2 linked regions of the Drosophila melanogaster genome follow. The protein of the gene in region 1 purifies or fractionates together with the protein of each later gene. This does not show direct contact. Each region holds a gene or a part of one and is shown on either strand. Other genes may lie near its edges.

Region 1 (3,755 bases):
GACTGCTGCTCTTGTGCTCCTTCGACGAGCTGGAGGAATTGGAGCTCTTGTGCTCCCTCTCCCTATCACGATGCTTGTCCTTGCTGGAGGATTTATGCTTGCTGCTGCTGCTGCTGCTGCTGCTGTGGTGATGATGGTGGTGGTGTCCGTGTCCATTGGTGGTCACCCCGTTGGATTGAACCACCTCGCAGCTGCCACCATTTTGTATGTGGATGCTCTGCGGGCGCGAGAGAGATGGCGAGATGGAAGAAAGAAGAAAGGGAGATGGTATCAGTTAGTTAGTACGTATATATGTAGATGGACCAGCTGAAAAGTGAGAGTGAATCCGGGCCAGAAACCTGTGCATCCGTCATGTTGGCCCAACTGGTCGCTTGTGGATCTACTCGATTTCCTCTCGATTTCTGGCGATGATTGGCTATTATCTCGTGTCTATCCGCTCACCACGTGGTGAAAATCAACCCTAACAAATGCCGCGTAGGAAAATTCACTTTAAACTACCAGCAATGGGTTAATCGAAGAAGAAGAGCCGCCGAGCGATGGCGACAGGAAATTGAAAATTGTTTCCGAATCACTTGGAATAGGTTAATATATATTTAAAAAACACCTTGCCAAACAATGACACCCACACACGCACAAGAGTCGTTTAGAATACAGAAAATCGTTGCTTTTTTTTTACACTTTTTGCATTTTTTTTTTTTTTTTTAACAGCTACACACACAAACACATCCCCACGGGGTTATTGTTGTTATTGTGGTTGCATATTATTCATCCGGAGCATTTTCTAGTTAATGCTTTTATTTGTTTTTGGCTGTTTTGGGGTGGCACATCTGTCTTATCAGACGACGGAACACCTTCGTATATGTATGTGCATGTAGAAGTGTAATTGCAAAATGGGACACTTGCAATTACATATGTACATGAAAGCAGCGGTCCACAACCAACAACAACAACAACAACAGCAGCAAACACATGTGATATTATGTGTGTGGAAGAGGGCAGTGTGACCAAACTTGGTGGTAATCTACGAAGAACAGGGAAATTGAGACGCTATGCGAACGTAAATAAGGCAAGTTGCAGTGGAAATGCAGGGAAATGAGTTAGTTAAAGGGTGTTTTTGAGGGGGAAAAATGTGGAAAGGCAACGTTCGAGTGGCTGGTGAAAATACCAGTTTTGATTAAAATACCAGCCAGCTGCGGCCACACTGTGCCAAATACATTTCGTCTGCCTCGGCTCTTCCCCTCCCTGCTTCACACCATCCTTCACCTTTTCCCACTTGCATTGTCGCCATTTTCGTCAATTACCAAAAGACCTCTTCTTACTTTTTTTTCTCTGCTCGTTGTATTTTACGCACTCTGCTGGCAGCGCTGTCGGCGTCGCTGCCAGCTGCCAGCAGCGAGCGGTACACTTGCAACTATCCTGTGCACCCTACAATTATGCGGTTCAGAATTTAACTTGATTTTTTGGGACTGACAGGCAGGCTGCAGGCGGCAGGCAAAGTCCCCCCATTCAACACGTTTGCACATTACATAAAAAAGGAATGGATATTTCGTTTAGGGCACTTACATTTTCGGCAGCCACATCCCCACTCATTTTGCGGAACTCGCTTAGCGGTTTTTCTTTTATTTTATTCGTTCCTTTCTTTTCTTTTCACGCTTTTACACTGTTCGACTAAACTGTTCGTTAGGATTTTCAATAATTAGATGTTGGTGCTCCTTAAAGCGGTGACAGCGGCGGGGAAATAAAAGCGCACTGAAGTTTTTCGAAAAGGAGCAGCGTTTGGTGCTTTGGTCAATGCGAATGCCCTTGCTTTTTGGCTTCTTTGCGTTTTACGGAACGCAGCAGCCACGCAGTCTCCCCGATAGGCGATTGGTTCGGACAAGTAGCGACTGCTGCTATCGGAGAGCGATAGGCTGATAGTTCGGATTCGGACAGTGTGACCGTCGGTGCCCGTGTCGATACTAGCCTGTCGATAGATGTTCACTCTTTCTCGATAGTCTGAGCACTGAATTGATACGAAATCTAGAATAACTTTAAGAAAAAGCTAACTTTTTTTCACTTTCACAAAAGGGTTTTCCCCACTATTTGCTTAAATCACTGATTGTGGTAAATGCAGCGCCAAACGTTCAAAAAAAAAAAAATAAGCATTGAATGCCACAAAATGAAATATAAAACATTTAAAGAAATTATTTAACGTTCTGGCATCGAAGTAATTTATTACTTTCGTACAGCTCTTGCAATTATTATTTTGGAAGAAAAACAAATAAAACCACCGCCATAACTGCTTTATCATTGTTTTGTATGTAGGTACACAAGTTTATTCACTAATACATTAGTTTAATATTAATTTAGATAAAAAAAAAAACAAATGCATAACAAACATTTAACAGAGTTCTCATATTTTTGTCGCCTCAGCTTTTTCTGGTTTTTGTGGGTGTGTGTGTTTGTGTGTGTGTGTGGTTTCTTAACTTCCGTTTTTACGCTTTTACATCGATTTATTATTAGTTTACATCGAACCATATATGCATCTAATTATGTATACATTTGTGTAAATTGTACTTGGCTCACTTGCTACATATATGCAGTGCACCGTGCTTGGCCAAAATCCATCAATTCGTCCGGATTTATCTTAACCATAACAACATTAAACATCTATAAAAAGTGTTCGTACGGTAAATGTAATTAAACTATGCAACGCTTCCTTTTAGTGCGCGTATGAATATATTTGTTATATTTATGTATGTATGTATATATTACCTTTTCATGCGAAACTATGCCGATTTAAGTTTAGGTTTTAGTTTTAGATTTACGGTTGTTTCCATCTCGGTATTATGTATGTGTGTATGTAGTTGGTAACAGTCTTTTATCACGTTTAGTTTGGGCATTACGCACAACGTATGGTACATAGGTTTTTAATAGTATATTTCATTTAGCATAATAATTGTTTAAATCCTCCCATTTACGCTAATCATTACTTATATCATTATCTTAATCCTTTGTGGGTGTTTGTTGCCGTTTCCGCTTTCGATGCAAATTGACGTGACTCTTTTCTATTCATATTTGTTCTACCATCTTTTTGTTTTAGAAAATTGGGATCAGCAAATAACAAGTTGTGTTCAAAAGAATCAGCTGTGATTGGATTAAGCTACTAAATATGTATGTGTCTAACATTCTAAACGAAATCGGAAACGGAAACGGTAACGGTAACTAGTTCTACATGCATGTAAAAGTCCTTCTACGTGGGACAGGAAGTTAAAAACAACAAACTGAACAAACAGTGTATATATGTACATATATATATATATATATATATATATATGTGAGTGTGTGCATGTGGGCAGGGTATCTAAAGTATGCTTGTCTCAGGCTCACTCATAAGTTGGGGTTAAAGGTTATCTATCCGTATCTGTATCTGTACCTAAACTGTACCGCAGCAGTTACCCATCAGTTGACCGAACGAGAAGTAACCCTGAATTATTGGTTCTATTGGTTGGTACGAATTAGGGACACTTTGTATGTTGGGGCTTGAGCTGACTGCCAGGACAGTAGTTACATATCACATCGATGAAACCCTTCAGTCGAGACCCGATCGGGCGCTCTCCATCACTCTAGTCCTGGTCGTCCTCCTGAAGCGGCGGCGGCGGCTGCTCCTGATTCCGATCCGAATCCGATGACTTCCGGGTGCTTGCCTTATGCTGCAGCTGCACCTCGTACTCGCTCTTGATGTTCACATACAGTTCACTCTGCTTCTGGTGCTC
Region 2 (3,755 bases), on another chromosome or scaffold:
GGTGCAACGTATGTTTAGTTAGTTCCCATTGATAACATTGCGATGTCGTGTTAACCAATGGTCTTTATAAAATAGCTTATGTTAAATGTACTACTTTGATTTTCTACTCTTTCTGTGGTCAAACTTGGCGCGCTTGTTTTTGGGATCGAACTTGGCTCTCCTGTTCTTGGGGTCGAATTTGTCCTTCTTGTCCTTGCGATCGAACTTGTCCTTACGATCGTACTTGTCCGTGCGCTCAGATTTGTCATTCTTGTCCTTGGTATCCAGTTTAGCGCGCTTGTTCTTGTATTTCATTCCGCCGCCCAAACTAGGCCGCTTTCGGGAGGACTTCGCTTCCATTTTGAACAGTTCTGCAAAGGAAACATTAGTTTATATTCTACGCAGCATGTAGCACAACTCACCTTCGTCTGGTTCCTCGCCGACTTCCTCCTTGTAGTACTCTGCATCATCCTCGGGATCGCTGTCAGTCCGTCCCTCTGCCGCCCTCTTGGCAGCCCATTTTTCATCCTTCTTAAGCTTCAAGTTGCGGGCACGGTTCTCTGCCTGCTCCTTCTTGCGCTGCTCCTTCTGCTTTCGCTTCTTTTCGACCAGCTTGCGCAGGGTTTCCTTTTCGTCCTCTGTCTTGACCACATGGTCGTGATACAGTACTTCGCCCGTCAGAAGGCCCTCTTCTATTTTGATGAGCTGCATGGTTAGTCGAGGTCCGATCTCGTGTAGCTTTATGGAGCTCTTTTTGTCCTCCAAGTTGCCCTTGCTTTTAAGAGTCTGTGCCAGCACCACATGTGATTGCTCATCATCTTCGGCCTCTGATTCGGAGGCATAGCCGTCCCTGAAAATCAATATTATGATTATTTGATGGAATGAGAACAAACGGTCATTTCCTACTTGGTCACAAAGTCCACGACTTCGTTGCACTTGCCCAGATTGGGTACCGTTCCTTTGACGATTTTCTGGACCGCCCGCTTTAAGCCAACCGGCACCACCTGCACGGAGTAGTGCCGCATCTCGACCAGCTTCGTGTCCGGATTGTAGGAGAACAGGACGCAGCGACGAATGGTGCCGATATTAACCGTGGCCAAGTTAATTGAGGGGAACATGTTTTGGAACGTGGTGGCCATCAGCTTAAGGTGCTTGCCATCGCCACTGAAGTTGTTCATGATGACGAGCGGAGCGTGCTTGAAGTGATCGTTGTCAATCATCTGCTTTTTGCTTAGCGAGATCACATCTCTGGCCAGGGTGAACTGGTGAACCTGACAGAGAATAACTTCGCGGTAAAATATCCAGTATAAACTAAGCGATGAAACAAACAAACCTTGAAAGTCAGGGAAGGACCGCGCGGCAAGCGGACCACTTTGAAGGACAGCTGCGTGGAGGCCTTGTTGAAGATGCCCATGTGCGAGACGTGGAAGAAGCTGCTCAGGCTGACAAAGTCCTTGATGCGGTTCATCCGCTTCTCGCGCAGATTGCTGGCCGTAAAGGGCTCCATAATGCGGCGGAAGTCCAGGGTGAGGTCCGTGATGTACGGACAGGCGAGGCCGCGATGGATGACGAAGGAGTGCGGCGCCTCCACGATCTCGCTCGGCTCGCTGGCCTTGAAGGCCGCCGTGCGCGTCTTCGGATGCACTTTCTTCTTACCGCCCATGTTTCAATGTTTTTGTTCACTTTTCTCCCGCACGTGTATGGATCAGTGTGGCTGCTCGCGCGGAAAATACCAAACACCCACTCCGACGTCTGCCTTTGGTCACTCTAATCCCATTTTAAATTTCGATTTTCCGCCCAATTGAAAGCACTTCTGTTTTATTTAAATTATATTTATTTAATCACACTTAACATAGCAAACACAAATGATGTTATTTCGTTTCATTTATGCATTTAAAGTTTTACAACTGTTTTTGTTTGATTTCTCTTTATCAGCTAGTTTTACCAAGTGGCCAATCGTTTAAAATGTTGCGAGAAACCGAAGAAGAAAATCCGAGCTGCAGTGCTGTGGTAATGAATTTGCGTTTAAGTCGAAGAATTTCCGGTTGTTTGTTGTTGTTCTGCTCGCGAAATTACAACTATATATTTATGTTGCGAAAAATTAATAATATTAATATTTTAATATTAGCATATATGTATATTTATATAAATTATAGTTCTACAGCTTAAACTGAATTTGGAGTGTTTAGTTTTGCTTGCTTTCTTTCCGCGGCGGTCGATTTATGCGATACTCATGGATCTGTATATATATAAAACTTCAGTTTAAACCGCAGTTAACTACAGCCGGATGTTGTTGCTTTCGATTCTTTTGCTGCTGCTGCTGCTTCTGATGATGGTGGTGGTGTTGGTGGTGGAGAGTGGCGGCTCAGATTTGAATTATCAATTTATGCGCACATGACAAACTGTGGCTGACAAACGCATAGACATCTTGTGCGGTCCATCGGGTGTACGCTGCTCCTGATCTTGGTGTTGCAGTTCTGGCCGCTGCTGCTCCTCTTGTAGTCGTAGTTGTAATTGCTGTTGCTTCTGTTTATGTTGCTGTTCTGGCGGTTGCGGGGAATAGCGAAAATTGCTTGGGGCGGTCACTGACAGCACTGTTTGCGCACATCGGCGGTGACAGTCGGCTTTACGTCGATGGGCTCCACGTTCGACGGGCGGATGACGTCGCCTTCCGGCGGATCTCTGATCTGTTTCTGCGACACAATGCGATAGATCTCTGAAACGGGATTACGAGACATCATTAGTCGTGCTTCGTTATCATTAATCTATTGACTTTCAATGAAGCGTTTAATCTACAGTATTTAAATATTCTTAAACGATCGATAATTTGAAAGCAGACTAGCTAAAATATCCTGAACGACCCACCTGTGAGTATGTTCTGGAATGCCGTTTCAACGTTCGTTGAGTCGAGGGCCGAGGTTTCTATGAAACTCAAGCCGTTGCGCTCGGCAAACAGCTTCGCCTCGTCCGTGGGCACGGAGCGCAAGTGCCGCAAGTCGGACTTGTTGCCCACCAGCATGATGACGATGTTCTGGTCGGCATGGTCGCGCAATTCCCGCAGCCACCGCTCCACGTTCTCGTAGGTCAGATGCTTGGCAATGTCATAGACGAGCAGGGCCCCCACGGCACCGCGGTAGTAGGCAGAGGTGATGGCGCGATAACGCTCCTGGCCGGCCGTATCCCAGATTTGCGCTTTAATTGTTTTGCCATCGACCTGCGTTGGATGCACAAGAAGGATGAAACAAAGGACAGCATTAGAATGGTGCCAGTAATTGGCAATTTCGCCACGAAATGCCTGCGGCGCATTCGCTTTGAAAATTAATATACAAGCACTGGCATTCAGTATTCACACATAACCAACATAAATTAGAGCTTATGGATAAGCTTTTAACTCTAGTAAGAGAACCCAATTTTTGAAATTTCTTACACTAGTTAGAAAAAACGCAAGTAGCGTAAGTTATATTCATTGAACCCATTTGATATACTAAATATTAAGATGACCTACTAAGCTACTTCGAAAAGATGGCACAAAGTATTGTTTAACACAAATCCTTATACATACGTAATATATAATTGTTATTGACCACATAAATTTATTATTTCAGCACAAGTGACAACTATGATGTCAACATTTTGGCTAATCCCGTAGGATGGCTTTTGAAATTATGCAAGAAAGCCAATTGGCAATCCATTATTTAGTGAAATTCTCGACACTTACTCAAATTGAACAAACTTTTCCCCCCAATTTTCCGATAGACGCCTCAACTACGTGTCCT

The links. Proteins that work in one complex are often made in the same cells at the same time.
Region 2: the proteins of Top1 (region 1) and ppan purify together in Drosophila melanogaster (affinity purification with mass spectrometry, with the first as the bait; one large-scale study listed by BioGRID). This does not show direct contact.

Annotation. Positions count from the first base shown.
Region 1 is NC_004354.4:15,317,616-15,321,370, reverse strand, and holds the start of Top1 (topoisomerase 1), read right to left. Parts: upstream 1,880-3,755; 5' UTR 1,591-1,879; coding exon 1,564-1,590; intron 1,418-1,563; exon of another isoform or gene 1,334-1,417; intron 1,003-1,333; exon of another isoform or gene 354-1,002; coding exon of another isoform or gene 339-353; intron 218-338; coding exon 1-217. Other genes in the region: gce (germ cell-expressed bHLH-PAS), read right to left, coding at 3,606-3,755. UniProt on the Drosophila melanogaster protein: Releases the supercoiling and torsional tension of DNA introduced during the DNA replication and transcription by transiently cleaving and rejoining one strand of the DNA duplex.
Region 2 is NT_033777.3:21,114,191-21,117,945, reverse strand, and holds ppan (peter pan), read right to left. Parts: upstream 1,693-3,755; 5' UTR 1,643-1,692; coding exon 1,313-1,642; intron 1,251-1,312; coding exon 886-1,250; intron 830-885; coding exon 402-829; intron 351-401; coding exon 91-350; 3' UTR 47-90; downstream 1-46. Other genes in the region: Bdbt (bride of doubletime), read left to right, coding at 1-22; Rab11, read right to left, coding at 2,562-2,695, 2,845-3,193. UniProt on the Drosophila melanogaster protein: Required for initiation of larval growth and normal mitotic growth but is not absolutely required for general biosynthesis or DNA replication. Required for progression of normal oogenesis and maturation of some imaginal tissues into adult structures.